Tribolium castaneum: one gene and its partner. The protein of the gene in region 2 interacts with the protein of the main gene of each other region in a biochemical or structural test. Links are inferred from orthologs where the notes say so. Each region holds a gene or a part of one and is shown on either strand. Other genes may lie near its edges.

The links.
Region 1: the proteins of TER94 (region 2) and mh form a complex in vitro, tested with the Homo sapiens proteins (2 studies listed by BioGRID). The link is inferred for Tribolium castaneum from reciprocal best matches to the Homo sapiens genes VCP and SPRTN.

Annotation. Positions count from the first base shown.
Region 1 is NC_087394.1:3,895,572-3,904,484, forward strand, and holds mh (DNA-dependent metalloprotease dvc-1), read left to right. Parts: upstream 1-3,742; 5' UTR 3,743-3,871; intron 3,872-3,927; 5' UTR 3,928-3,941; coding exon 3,942-4,479; intron 4,480-6,625; coding exon 6,626-6,822; intron 6,823-6,963; coding exon 6,964-7,917; 3' UTR 7,918-7,968; downstream 7,969-8,913. Other genes in the region: uncharacterized protein LOC103312501, read right to left, coding at 1-607, 915-1,163, 1,211-1,427, 1,477-1,632, 1,913-2,078, 2,130-2,363, 2,416-2,561, 2,735-3,359 and 1 more. UniProt on the Homo sapiens protein: DNA-dependent metalloendopeptidase that mediates the proteolytic cleavage of covalent DNA-protein cross-links (DPCs) during DNA synthesis, thereby playing a key role in maintaining genomic integrity.
Region 2 is NC_087396.1:21,356,458-21,363,323, reverse strand, and holds the end of TER94 (transitional endoplasmic reticulum ATPase TER94), read right to left. Parts: coding exon 6,785-6,866; intron 5,632-6,784; coding exon 5,439-5,631; intron 5,375-5,438; coding exon 4,256-5,374; intron 3,977-4,255; coding exon 3,793-3,976; intron 3,739-3,792; coding exon 3,452-3,738; intron 3,393-3,451; coding exon 3,141-3,392; 3' UTR 3,040-3,140; downstream 1-3,039. Other genes in the region: acidic mammalian chitinase, read left to right, coding at 1,328-1,391, 1,442-1,579, 1,623-1,980, 2,025-2,322, 2,373-2,489, 2,534-2,656. UniProt on the Homo sapiens protein: Necessary for the fragmentation of Golgi stacks during mitosis and for their reassembly after mitosis. Involved in the formation of the transitional endoplasmic reticulum (tER).

The DNA.
Region 1 (8,913 bases), on a different chromosome or scaffold from region 2:
GTTGGCAACAAGGGCATAAGCAATACACTCGACCCTTAGAAGATTAGTCCGTGATTCAAGCGACCAATTATAAATCGTCGGAATTGTATCAGGACTTAATCTAAACTTTTCCACACAATCGGTCAAATAACACCGATAATCCTCCATCAAAAACCTATCACATAGTCCGATAACGTCCAAATGAGTATTCAAATCAATATCAATTTCAACCAAGTCGGTCTTGATCCAGTGCAGCAAACACCTTAAGGATTTATTGTTGACGTTTGGTAACGTGATCACATCCTGGCTTGACTCTTTGAAATCACCGTTAAGTAAGCGGGCAAAAAAATCTGAATTACGGCTCAGTAAACCCCTGTCGGCACTCAGTAAACTCCCATCGTCTAGTTTGAATGTGACCACGGATGATGTATCGCCAGTGTTGCCACCCGTCACGTTTTTGTAAATGCCAGACACGTTTTTTGGGTTTGGAATGCCAAGTTTTTTCGATGCTAACACACAAAGGACTTTGATGCTTTTGGTCTGGAGGGCAGATTGGTCCTTGAGGAGCTTCATCAGGATCTCCAGGCCGCCGCAGTTCAGCATGAGCTTCACCAGGATTGCTTTGCTCCTAAATGGAAAATTTCATTTGGTTATTTTTTGTGTTGGTATCTGATAATTATAGGAAAGTACAAAAAAAATGGCAACTAAATTTAATTAAACATAAATAAAAGAATAAATACTAATTCTATATAAAAACTAATTCTATCTAAAAAGGCCAAATTATAAGAATTATAATTATAATAAGAATTTGAATTAAATTAAATTAATTAATTCCTAAATTGATCCTAATTATAAGAAAATGTTAAATTTTTGAAAAATCCGCAGGCATATCATTTCATCATTGTCACCAACCTAATTTTAAAATCACAGCTTACCTGATGATGTATGGGATCACTAATACCAACTGTTGTTTAGTGACATTATCCCCTCGGAGTAGTTTATGGGCAATATCGCCCTTCCCCCCTCCAGTCTCAGCCACCCGTGATAATTTTTTGATTATAGAAGCACTAATCCATTGGAACTGGCGACATTTTGAACACCAGGAGCCATGTTGGATTTTGGCCATGTCGTAAACAGCCGGAATAAAATCGCTTTGCATCAAAGGTAGTAGATAATTGTGTGACCTAAAGTAGGCTATGAACCCGGGTTTTCCCCCTAAACAATTTCTCACCCTAATATCTTGTAAATCAAATCAACTATGTCCAAAATGGCGGATGAACATGGCCAGTGGAAGTAGGCCGTGCTTTTGATTAGGCCGAGGAGTAGTTCGGGGGTTCCCAACTGCGTAATCGGTGGCTTGATTTTGATGTAGGTTTTGAGCAAATCGACTATTTCTAAAACGAGGCGTCCTTTGATTTGTTTGACGCTACTTGAGTCCACGTCGAAACCTGTAAATTGTTTTTTTTTGTGACAGTGAATAAAATTAAAAATTATTACTTTGAATTTCTTCGGTTTCTTCCGAAATGTCCGAACTTTTCGAATCTATTTCGGGATTCGGGGATTCTTCACCTTCTGGTTTTGCCAATGGGAAGTCAGAAGGGTCCACTTCGCTACACACTGGCGAATAGTCGTCCGAATCGGATTCAGAAATACCTAAAAATAATTAAGCTATTGATTTAAATAATTAAACTTTGAAATATGATTATTTTCATCAAGTTGGTAGTAGTTGATATGGTATATTAACAATAGAGGGCGCCACGTTACGTCACATGACATTTAAAAGTTACTAACTTCACACTACATGAACGTTAGAACTGTCAATTTCTAATTTAAATTTGATGTCACAGCTTACTATCTCATGATTTTTTAATAAAAAAAGCACAACTAAGCAATTGTTTTCTGTTACCAAATTGTTTGATAAGTTTTTTTTTACCATAAAGTCGGGACCGAGGGCTTGAAGGTGGCGACAGCCCTGAAGTCCAAGACATGGCCATCTCAGATTCGTTGCTTGACCCAGGACTGTAGTCATTTCTGACACTTGAATAATACTTATCGATTTCTTCGTCGCTATCTGAACTAGAACTTTCTTCATCTTCCTTCTTAAAACAACAATCCAATCATAAATCAAGTTAAGATAATTTGTGACTTACATTCAAATCCACCATTAGCTTACTCCTCTTACTTTCCTTAAACTTGGCAAGAAAATTATTTCTGCGTTTTTTATCACTTTTATGATTAATATTAAGCGGATCAACGCTCCCGACTATCAGTTTTATTTTCTCATTCAAGACTGTCACAATGTTACACCTGACCTGATCCGCGATCAGGTTAAAGTTGTACTTGCACTTCTTCAAAGTTGATATAATTAAAATGCTACACTCGATCTGAAACCAAAGAATAAGCTCACAAAAATCGGGGTTTTACCCAAAAATTTACTTTATTATTAGTTTGAAGGGTGAGCCCACTTAGTACATTAATTAAAAGTGGAATGCTGTCGCCACACCTTTCATTTTCTCTATTTCCTGGATGGTCCAAAAGGTAGCAAAGACATTTGATACACTCTTCACATGTGGAATTAAACTCTACATAAAACAAAAAACCGGATCATAGTAGCCTAGGACTCTGAAATTAGGTTGGCAACATTGAAGAACGAAAAATAATTGGTAGTAACTCAACTCAAAAAAACTTTTCATGGCCTACTTGACGCAGCAACTTCTGCCTACATTACTCAATGTTGCCAACTTGAATTAAGTACCTTGAATGATCGTATCGTCGCTTAAGACTTCAATGAAGCTGTCAAAAATCTCCGGAACGGGCAAATCTGACTTCAACTGACTGATTTTCAAGAAGTTCATGACAATTTTAACGACTTGTCGCGGAGCCACTAAGAGAATTTTGCTAAGGTAGACAATCGAGTCGCCTTTGTCTGTACTTCTCATTTCTTGGATAGAGGGATAATAGCGATAGCGCGAATACTCGTGGAGTAACTTAACGATGTTAATAAGCACGCTTTCGCCTTTTTTCGTCTCTTGCCAGATGGCACCATACTTAATAAGCAACATCCCTACAGTTTTAAGCACCCCGTACGTTGTCACGAGCGACTGAAGCGTTTCTCGATTAACTAAGACCCTCAAAGCCCGAATACCCATTGTAATAGTAGCTTCGGAAACTTTCCCATTTTCTTCCTCCACCGAATCTTTAAGATACTTGACAATGTGTATAACAATTTGCGGTTTTTTCTCGATTATAACCCCCGCCCATTGGTCCCTGTGTTGGCACAAATTGCCCACAATTCGAAAAACGCGCCCGTTGATGCTATCATCTTTCGGGTAGCGCTTCAAAAGTTGATTGAAATTGGACAAAGCGCCATATTGACTGATCTGCAACAAACCGGTGAAACCCCCGAACCCGTGACGTCACACCTACCACATCCCTGGCACACTTTGCGTCAAGACAACAGTTCCCCAAAATGCTCAAGGAGACGTTAATCGTGCTCTTCTTGGAGGTTTGGAGGGAGGCTACGATTTGCTTAAAGCAGCCCTTTTCCCGGATTTTGCAAATGTTCTCCTTGTTTTTGGGGCAGTCGGCGTCTACCTTTTTTCGTACATCGATGAGAATCTTGAGTAATTTTGCGCTGTCTTGGGCGTCTTGAAGGGACGATAAAACCTCGTCAAAATTATTACTTGACATTGTTGGGCCGCCTTTAGTTCATTACACTGGACTGGGTGTTTTTTTCGGCGATTTTTGCAACAAAATCTGGCTCCAAACACCCGACATGTCACTCGAATGACGTTTGCGACCACTGAAGTACCAAGAAAATAGAGTGCGACATAATTGGGTCAAAAATCACAATTTTACAGCTAAAACGCCTCAAGACAACGATCAGGGGCCGGTTTGTGTCGCACTAGTAGTGTAGGTTCCACCGTTTCAACTAATTCGATTTTTTAGTTTTTGAGGTTAGGATGGAGCTGGACTACCAAATGGCGCTCATTTTGCAGCACAGGTTTGAACAAGAAGCTGGGCAAACCGAACAGTCTGATTCTGAGTTGGCCAAACAATTGCAAGAACAGTTCGAACAGGAGGCTGCAGTTGAACAGCCCCCTTCTAGTCTTGTCTATCACCAGCCTAAAAAGGGGTCCGACTCGACCAAATCACTCATAGACCCCTCATGGGAGCTCGTGGACCCCACCCCCGACATACACAACCTGTTCATAGCTTTTGACCAACGTTTTTTTTGGAATAAATTGGTGGCGGTTTGTGTCTCTTGGAGCAAGAAAATGACTTCGTGTGCTGGCATTTGCTCGTATAGTGGCAGAGGGGGGCTTTGTAGTATCACCTTGAGTGAACCGTTACTTAAATTAAGGCCCAGGAAAGACTTAGTTGAGACTCTTCTTCATGAAATGATTCACGCTTATTTATTTGTAACCCATAATAATAGAGACAGGGATGGGCACGGGCCCGAGTTTCATAAACACATGTACCGGATCAATAACGAGGCAGGTGGGTTCAAATTTTATTCTTAAAATAAGTAAGTAACACGACAAAAATTGTAATTAAGGGAGTTGGAGTTAGGGGGTTTGCACTATTGCACAAATGCGAGTTGCAGCTGTTGCAGTGGAAACCCTTTTTGTTCATTTTGTAGCGGCAGACTATTTTGTAAGCGACCATGTCGAAAGTGGCGCATCCTTTGGCTTGGACACCCTCTGAAAATGTTGAGAAATAGTTTAAACACTACTGAAACTCCACAGAGTTCAGAACGATTTAAATGATAGAAAACGTACGCTTTTTGAAGTTAAAACTGAAACACATGTCTGCTGAAAAATTTCCAATGCATTCTCTCAGTCTCCAGGGTTTTTCACAAAGCGTCCAATTGGATTGTGGGGGCCAGATGGGGACATAACTTTCTGATGGTGTCCAACATTCGTAGCAAATTATCTTCGCCAAACTGATTTCTGTAATAGTTATTAAGATAAGGGCAATACTGAGGCTTTTATGCCACATGGTTGACAATTTTTGCAATATACTATTATTTTATCGTAAGCATGTGGGCATAAATTATGTCTTATTCAATGATTATTTGTCAAAATTACATTTTTTTAACACATGTCATGTCTAAAATTAAACATTAATTAAAAAAATTGACTAATGGCAGTAGGTAATAAATAAAGACAAAGTATCTTTTATTAGATTCTGCTCTATTCTTTTTTTAGTTTTTTTTTCTTAAACATTGTTTCTATACCATTTCCTAGAATTTCTATGATTCTCTTCTAATTCTTTTCTAATACCATTTGTAGATATGAAATTTGGAGTCTTTTTCCTTTAGGATAGTTTAAAAGATTTATAACTTTTTTATAACATTATAGTTTATAATTTTTTCACTAGAGGAGAATCTAGATTTTTCTTTGGAATTAATATTCTGTAGACTGTAACTATTTCATATTTTTTAATAAATACTACTTCTACATTCTCCAAATTCTCTATAATTTTTTTTTGCTTATTTTTAAAATTATATTAGTTTCATTTATCTTGAATTTTTTTAGATTATTTTTTCTCATTTTTTCTGTCATATTCTTTTATAAAAATTCTTCTTTATATACGCATTTTTTAAATTTTTTTGTTTAAAATTTTTGTCGATTATTCTTTGTCATTGTTTTTAATTTTTTTTGAATTTTTTTTTCCGATTTCGTCTGTATGCAGATCTGAAATCTGGACTTCTCTTTAGATTATTTTGTTATGTTATGTTATGTTATGTTTTTTTTATAAATTTTTCCCCAGATGCTCTTTTTATTATTTTCTAGACTATTGTCGATTATTCTTTGTTATTATTTTTTTACATTTCTCTTAATTTTTTTTCTTCAGATGTTCATTTTTTATAATTTCTAGAGTTATAGATTACTCAAAAGTGCTCAAAGTTATATTACATACAGGCTGTTCGGTAACCAGTTATGAACACGCCGTATAAACACTTTTACACTTATTTCTGCATTCTCAATAAATTTTTTTATATTATACTTTCTGTTTTCAAAACTCTTTCATAGGTTAGAATTTTTCCTTATTATTTTTTTTTTCATATTTCTTGTAACTTTGTTCCCTGATTTTTTTCCTAAAGCCGTCTGCATATGTTTAATTGCATTTTTGTGTTTTTACTTTTGAGCAAGTAAATTCATGTTTTTTTTTTGCTACAAAAGTCGGCTACAACTTTTTAACATTTACTGTCATAGACATTTGAGGGGATTTTTAATTTAATTTAATATAATTTAATGGACTGTTAAAATTTAACACTGATTAACATAAAAAATCTAAGGGTCGGTTTACAGAAAGCGAAATTAAAATTTAATTTGAAATTAAACTAATTCGAATTAAGTTGCCATTTAAAATGCATTGACAAATGTCAAGTTAATCGCGATTAAAATTTAATTGCAATTAAAATTTTCTGTAAACCGGCTCTAAATTTGATTGGTTATTGCTATAGCAACCTACCATGTTAACGTCATTTAAATTTTAATAGTTTCGTTATATAAGATGATTACAAAGGATTTTCCATCAAGTTACCTGTTGTTCTTGTGACAGTTAAAGCCAACTTGATGTAAATTTATACTTGACATTGATTAATATTTATAGCCATTTAGACTCACAATATTTTCAGGGACTAGTATTACCGTTTACCATAACTTCCATGATGAAGTTCGTTTATATCAGCAACACTGGTGGCGCTGTGACGGACCTTGTCAGCACCGGAAGCCCTTTTTTGGCATGGTCAGAAGGGCCACAAATAGGGCTCCGGGGCCCAATGATAGGTGGTGGGCAGAGCATTTAAGGACTTGCGGTGGAACCTTTATTAAAGTAATTTTTTACCTTTTATCACTTATTTATTTTATTCACAATCCCTACAGTGTCAAAAATGTGATTGTGAACAAAATAACATAATATACATATAAAATAGTTCCCACCCGGGTGGTAATTGTATATTTGGTGCAAATTTAGGTCAAAGAACCGGAAAAGAAGAAACAGGAGAAGAAGAATGAAACGAAAAGTGTGAAGAGTAAAGATATTAGAGATTTTATGGGTGGTAATGTTAAAGGTTTCAAAGACTTGAAAAATGGCGTTGTTAGGGGAAAAAGCAACTCATCAAGCACTATAGTAGTCACTAAAAACACTAAAACTAGTGAAACTACTTTCAAACCGACGATTTTTAATGCCAGTACTAGTACTATTTTGAAGACTGAAACAAATAGCTCTAGTGCTAGTACTAGTACTAGTACTAAACCGAGTGATGATTATGTAGCTGTTCGAAATCATTGGGCCAACAAATTCAATAATGCCAATAAAAGACAATCATCCGAAGAATCATCAACTGTTTCCAAAATTCCGAAATTGTTTGGGTCTTCGCCTACTAGCACCCAAAAAAATCCCAATTCTGGTGAATTTTGTGAATGTCCTGTTTGTCATCAAAGGGTGCTGATGGCTGATTTGAACCAACATCTCGATCAATGTTTGCTTAAATCACCAGAAGAAAGAGAAAGTGTTGATCTTACTGATTCTTTCCATGAGGAGGAAGATACAAAAGAATGTCCACTTTGTAACAAAAAAATTGTAGCTTCCAAATTTGACACTCATGTTGAAAAGTGCCTAATGGAGGTTTATAACGGAGTTGAGGAAAAGTTGGCTGTTCCAAAAGCCCAAGAAGAAACGGTTTCGTGTTTAGCTTGTGGTAAAAAAATCGTAAAAAGTGAGCTTAATTCGCATTTGGATGAGTGTATGGTTGACATTTTCGATGACGAGGAAAGTAAAGATAAGGAAGTTTGTGATAAGAATAATTCGCAGTTTAATTGTCCATTTTGTTTGAAACTGGTGGAAGAGAGCGAAATGAAGGAACATATTGATGGGTGTTTGATGGCTGATAATCTCGCCGAGGCTTTTGCAGATGATGATTTTTGATTGTTAATTATTTTTGTTTTTTTTATGCCAAATATACATACTTTTTCTAACTTTGGTATTGATTTATTTATATTCCCTGACACGAAATATGCACATCCGAGGATTTTTTCGTACACACCTGTTGCCACCTGTTGCACTTAGAATAATTTAACTGAACTTGAGAATTGTAGAATTGGGTGGAGAAATGCTTTATTTTTACCTTTCTTAACAAAAAGTTAAGAAACTGCTGATTTTTTTATTTTTTAACCGTTTTAATTGTGTTATTTAAACAATAAAAAATGATTATTTTGAAGAATTTCGTCCAAAATAAGCCGAAAAGCCATAACAACATTTATGAGAGCTTTTAAATAAAATAGAGTCCAAAGTAACTTGTATTTAATTATTATTGTTATTATTAATTTTATTTTATTTAACCTCTTCATTTATTAAAGTCCAAGAGGTTACTTGTTTTACAACAACAATTAGTTTTGCCCATTCAGCCGATTTACATCGTTTTACAGAAATTATTTCTCAAAATTTTTTAAAAATCGGCTGAAGTCATTTGTTTAGTGAAATTTCTTCAAAAAATTAATTGAAACATTTCAAAATTACATAAAAAGTCGTGCAATTTTTTTATTTTTCGAGCAAAAAATCACGATTTTACTAATTATTTAATCTTGTATTTACACGATTTTATTCCAGAATGTAATTATTCGACGAAATATCGTCAATAATTACCGAATTGGATAAAAAAGTGTTACTTTCGTTTTTTTTAGAAGAACGTTTTTGAGCAAAAACTTAGTTTTGCAGAAGTTTGAAAAATCACAAAAAGTCACAAACTAAAAGTCGTAGAGCAATGCGGTTTGTTCCATTGAATTCAGCGGCTCATTTTCTGTATTACACCGCCATTTTTGCAAAACCACCTCACTCGACGACTTAGTAGGAAATTTATTTATTAACTTGAAAAATGGTGAATGCGCCGAAATAAAAATTTAAAAAATTATAACTCAAAAACTA
Region 2 (6,866 bases):
TTCCGGAGCTATTGCTCGACAAATGTGCCGGGTACCCGGAATCGACCAAAACTGCGACAAAAATTGCAAAAATCAAAACTCTAAAAATCGAAGCAATTAATTTTTTTCTACATTTAACAACTCTAGGGGGTTGTTAAGGCATATATAAGTCCAAAAAACTATAATAGAAAAAGTTTAAAAAAAAAATATTTTTTCACTTTCTTAAAGGTAAGTGTATTACTAAGGAAATTTTAGCAAAAAAAATCAAAATTTTAAATTCCGTGAAAAATTGGTATAATACAGAAAATGAGCCGCTGAATTCAATGGAACAAACCGCATTGCTCTACGACTTTTAGTTTTTGAGTTATGAATTTTTTTAATGAATAAAATTTTTCAGTATGACAAATGGCTACCCTAAATTTAGGCAAAAAATTTTAAATTTTTAATTCTTGTGAAAAATTGATATAATATGTAAAATGAGCCGTAGAATTCAATGGAACAAACCGAAATTCTCTACGACTTTTAGTTTTTTTTTTATGAATTTTTTTAGTGAAAAACTTTGATCGCCTCTGTACCCGGGACCGTTACCCGGAGCGGCTCCGGGTTTAATCGAAAAAATAGAGAAAATTAAGCGCTATCAGATGGTTTTTTGTTCGTTGCTCTAAGTCTTACAGTTTCCGAGATAAACGCAAAAAAAGGTTTCCATTTTCACTTTTTTTCAATTTTCAACCGCCAATTACGGCGAAACTATTAGAGTTATCGAGAAACGAAAAAATCGAGGACAACCGGAATAAAAAACTCTACAAAATGGCATAGGACTCAAGGCGATATCTCGCAAAAAAAATTCAATTTTCAATCGCCGATTACGGCCAAACTAAAAGAGCTAGGAGAAAACGGTTTTTTCCATAGTAAAGAGCACATCAAAAAGTTACATTATTTTTTTGTGTAAATTTCAATTATGCAAAAATATATAGTCTTCCATTTAAAAATATTTGGTTCACCACCTTGTATTAAACACTGAGCATAATAAAAATATTTTTAGTTTGTGAACTAAATCTATCGGATAATAAAAACGGCATAACAATATTTCAATTCCCTGTATTATTAGTTTTTTAGGTTTTCCAACGTTGACTGTTACTAAGTTATTAGAAAAGATGGTTTTATCAGCGTTTTAAAAGATTATTTCTACGAATGTAGGACTCTTCTTGAGATTGGTTGTTGACGATCTCATGCGGCTTATGCCTGATCTATTTTCAACAATAGAAAAATTCGATTTTTGCAAGATAACCAGATATCGCCAGACTACAAATAGCGCCACAACAGTAGATAATTGAAACTTCCGACCAAAATGTACACCAAAATATTTTTGATTTCGATTTTGGCAATTCTAAGTCCCACAAATGGGGCGGTGGGTTAGTACCTCCACTATTAAAATAAAATACTCAAACCCGTTTATTTCAAGACAAAGTGATTTGTTACTACGAAAGTTGGGTCTCGGATTTCGCCCCCGAGGACATCGACGTGTCCGCCTGCACGCACGTCAATTACGCCTTCGTGGGCATCAACCCAGATGGGAGTTTCCGGCTGGACGGAAGCGATGGTAACCCCCGAACGTAACCGACCCACCTAACGCATAATTCCAGACGTTTTGCGGCGCCTTGGGGCCCTCAAGTCGCGAAACCCGGGCCTGAAGTTGCTGATAAGTGTGGGGGGCTGGAGCGAGGGCTCGACGAAATTTTCGGACGTTGCCGCCGATCCTGGTAAGAAGATCAACGTAGCTTACAGCACGCTCTACTACATGCAAACGTATAACTTCGACGGGATCGACATCGACTGGGAATACCCGGGCCAGCGTGGGGGAACCCCCGCCGATAAGGAGAACTTCATCGATATGTTGTGGGTGATTCGGAACGTTTTGGACCAGAACGGGGGCGGGCTGATCACGGTGGCGGTGTCGTCGTACCCGGACCCCAGCAGTTACAATGTTAACGCGATTTCGCAGTAGGTTTATACACGATTTTTTCGCCAACTGGGTGAGTTTTCAGGGCGGTTGACGCGATCAATGTCATGACTTATGATTTCCATTCGGCGAGTTCTGGACAAAAAACCGGGGAAAATTCCCCACTTTATGCCTCTTCGAGCGATTCCGATTGGGAGAGAAATAATGCCAATTGTGACGCGGCGATTAATAATTGGTTAAATAGTGGGGCTGACCCCACTAAAGTCGTTCTCGGGTTGGGTTTTTACGGGCAAAGTTTCCAACTGGCTGATGGTAATCAGCATGGGATTGGCTCGCCTATTGTGGGGCCTGGACTAAACGGTGGTCAAGTCATTTATGGAGAAGTATTATCTCTTTTTATTTATTTTTTTTTTGGTAATTGTGGGGATTTTAGTTGTGTAAATTGAACGATGGGTGGGTTAATGCGTGGGATGACGAGCAGGAAGTGCCCTATAAATATTCCGGTGATCAGTGGATTGGTTACGATGACCCACAATCGATTGCACTTAAAGTATTTTTACGAATGAATTTGCAAAATTGTGATCGCATTTTTAGGTTCAGTATGCCAAAAGTAGAAATTTGGGTGGTGTGATGATGTGGGCTGTGAACCAGGACGATAAAGCCGGGGCTTGTGGCGACAGGAATGGGTTATTGCAAGCCATTAAGAATAATTTGTAAATTAGGAAAAATACTTACCTATTTCCTATTATTGATTTTTTTTTTTGCTCAAACGGAAAATAAAAGGCAAATTCGTCAAAAAAACTCGTGTTTCGTTAGAAACTTTAATATAGGGTGATTCAAAAGAGCTGTACAATCTCTCGGGTGCTGATAAAGGACATCAAACTAAATTACAAGTTCTTATGATAAAAAATTGTTTGAGGCTTTTTTCACGAGATATAGCTCTTCAAAGTTAAATTATTTGCATTAGGAATAGTCACAGATGGCAGCCCGATTTTTAAAATAAACTGGCGATCTTTTGATCTAAACACTTCAAGGATATCATCAGAAAACGTCTTCGTAACCCACCAAAATCTTTATTTCAACCCAAAAAAACTCTCGTCATTACAGAATCCTTTTTTATTATAATAATTCAAAACTATTTCACAAATGAACTCAAAATGACAATACAAATAAAAAAAGAGTGCACATTGAGCCTGAATATTTAACTGTATAAATCGTCTTCAGGATCATCTTGGAAGTTGCCCTGATCGCCTCCTGTCCCTCCTGGCGCAGCCGAGCCTCCCGTTCCCGACGGGAACCGGAAGTTAGTGCCAAAACCACGCGACTGTTGCAGCGTCTGCGCGAACATTTCATACTTCCTGATGTCATTATCCGACACCGATCTTCGGGCAAATCTCATCGCCTCCTCGAAATGGGCGCGAGTTATCTCCGGAACCGGATCATCCTCATCCAACTGAAACAATTTCACATTCTCATTAAATTTGTGTTTTATTGCAAGAAAAAACTACTCACATCCATTGCGCTGTTCGGGTTCATGGCCCTCTCGCGCTCCCGCCGAATCTCGGTTTCGATGCTTTGGCGAATCGCTAATTTACACGCCCTTTGACAGATTTCCGTCAAATCGGCACCTGAGAATCCGTGAGTCACTTTAGCTATGTAAGTAAGATCCACGTCTTTTGCAACGGGGGATTTACGCAGATTTGCTTTGAAAATCGCTTCGCGAGACTTTTCATCCGGCAGCGGGATATAAATCAATTGATCGAGACGGCCGGGACGCAAGATTGCAGGATCAATGATATCTAAAAATTAAAAAAATAATAGAAAAAAATCGATAAAATTGGCGGGTTAATCACCAGGTCTGTTTGTGGCTCCGATAATAAAAACGTTCTTCTTTGCGCCCATTCCGTCCATTTCCGTCAAAATTTGATTAATGACACGGTCGGCGGCGCCTCCGGCATCCCCCAGGTTGCCTCCACGTGATTTTGCTATCGAATCCAACTCGTCGAAGAAGAGGACGCAAGGGGCGGCCGATCGAGCCTAGAAAGCCAAACACACATTCGGAAAATATTATTAAATTCCTCTGTCTGCATGACTTGGCAATAAAAAAAAATTACATTATGTTTCAGAGGAGAAAATATTTTAATGCCGTAAATAACGTCATTTTTGTTCACGCGTTGGCAAGATTTTGTTACACATTACACAATGAACGCCATAATAATCTTTTTATTTTTTTAATCCCATTTTTTTTCAATTTTACTTAAATTCAGTGCGATTTTAATTACACTTCGTATTCAAATTTCAAGAGAAACAACAAACCTTATCGAAAATGTCCCTAACGTTGGCCTCCGACTCCCCAAACCACATCGTCAACAACTCCGGCCCCTTGACCGAAATAAAATTCGCTTGACATTCATTCGCTATAGCCTTCGCCAACAAAGTCTTCCCGCAACCAGGTGGTCCATAAAACAACACACCACGTGACGGTTGCATGCCAAACTTCAAGAACTTATCAGGATGCTCAACCGGATACTGCACCAATTCCTGCAATTCCTTCTTAACATTCTGCAATCCACCGATATCGTCCCACGTAATATTCGGCACTTCGACCACGGTCTCCCTCAACGCACTCGGACTCGACTTGGTCATAGCATAACGGAAATTCTCCATACTAACAGCCAACGAATTCAAAACCTCCGCATCGACTTGATCGTCATCCAAATCAATCAGATCCATTTTTTCGCGGATTTGCTGCAACGCCGCCTCCGAACACAACGACGCTAAGTCGGCGCCCACGTGACCGTGCGTCTCGGCGGCGATTTGCTCAAGATCAACGTCGTCGGCAAGCTTCATATTTTTGGTGTGAATACGCAACACTTCCAGACGTCCGGTGGCGTCAGGAATGCCAATATCTATCTCGCGGTCAAAACGACCGAACCGACGCAAAGCCGGATCGATTGAGTTCGGGCGATTTGTGGCCGCCATCACGATAACATGCGAGCTTTTCTTCATGCCGTCCATCAGTGTTAACAATTGCGAGACAATTCGGCGTTCGACTTCGCCGTGGGTTTTTTCACGTTTCGGTGCAATCGCGTCCAATTCATCGATGAAAATAATAGCCGGTGAGTTTTTATCGGCTTCTTCGAACGCTTTCCTTAGATTACTTTCGGATTCGCCGGCTAATTTACTCATAATTTCGGGACCGTTGATTAAGAAGAAGAAAGCACCGGTTTCGTTGGCCACTGCACGTGCGATTAAAGTTTTACCGGTACCTGGAGGTCCGTACAAGAGGATACCACGTGGTGGTTTCACGCCAATGGCCTTGAAGAGCGACGGGTGGCGTAGAGGTAATTCGACCATTTCTTTGATTTGTGCGAGTTGTTTGCGACAACCGCCGATATCGTCGTAGCCGACGGCGTTCAAGGCTTCCTCCTCTTCCTGGGAAAAACAAGATAGAAAAAAATATGATTGTCACTCACTTAATTGGATTAATTTTTATTACTTCTCGTTTGATCGGATCGCCGTCACAATGGATGACGGTATCGGGGGCGACGATACAATATGGTGACGGTTCCGTTTCCACCACTTTGAATTCAACGGCTCGCATGCCACCACGGACGATGAAAACGTCGCCTTTGTGGATTGGTCGATAAGCTTCGAGGAAGTATGGTTTTAAGTACACCTCGAAGAGATTTCTACAAAAAAATATAGTTTTTTTTTGTAAATCACAGTGACTATGTTTCGTGTTTTTGTTTAATTTAGTTGCTACGTCACAAATAAATTAAGAAACATTGCTCAATTGTTTGCCAATACAGACGTTACGTCAGTTTTATAAACATCAAAGAAAAAAAAACGATTCTCTTTATTAACAAACACGATTTATTTTAATACCTGAAATAAACATCGCAAAAACGTTGGCAGCCCGAAAAAATAAAATAAAACCAATAAATTTAAGCCGCAAAAAATTGTCAGATTTGTACCGAATTTTGACAAATTTTTATACCAAAATACACAAGATTGAGAAAAACATGCTAAGATAAATTTAAAACAAAATAATGAAGGGCAATCTGTTATTATGTCACTAATTAACATAAGTTGTGTGCTTTCCTTGCAAATTATTTTGAATTGTTACTTATTCAGTCACTATTTAAATAAATAAAATAACAAATAAAATACAACAGTGAATTGAATTTAAAAAGGAATAGAACCAGTTTTCTATTTATGTCTACAGTCTGTCTCTTTTTACTGTTATAGGTACCAAAAAACTGTGAGGAACAAAGTTGTAAAAATTATACAAAAAAAATGTGCTTAAATCTTGAGAAAAAAATTTGTATTATCTTCAATGAAAAAAAAACTTGGTAGGTTCGGAGACTTAAGAAATATTGACTTTTTTCGGTTATTTTGTAATCAAAAGCCGATTACTATAAAAATACGATAATAGTCGCACAGTAGATAGTCATAATAATGAGTCACTAGCGATCAAATTGTGGGAAGTACCGATCAACATTCATTGGAATCACCGGATGTATAAGGAAAACAAGTATAATTTATTTTAATAATTTTTCGAGAAAGTTGTAGAAAAATAATGCGTGTTATTATTTGATAAAATCGTATGACTCAAAAATTACAAGAACGATCCCCAAATAATTGCGATAATGTGACAGTCATGTCATGACAGTTCAGCGACTCCATGCCAGCTAAGCAATTGGAGGAATTCAAACCGCGCGCTGTGGGCGCGCTCTCTCATTGGTAACCGGCAAACGATCCGTCTTTCCCATTGGCCACAGGACGGTTTCTTTTGTTTAATTACTTCTAGCCCCAGAGAGGGGCTTTTTCGTGGTAACTCACCCGACGAGCCCTTCGACCGTGTCATCGATGGGCAAAACGTGGATCCTCTTCCCGTATTTGACGTCGGGACAGGGCTGGATCC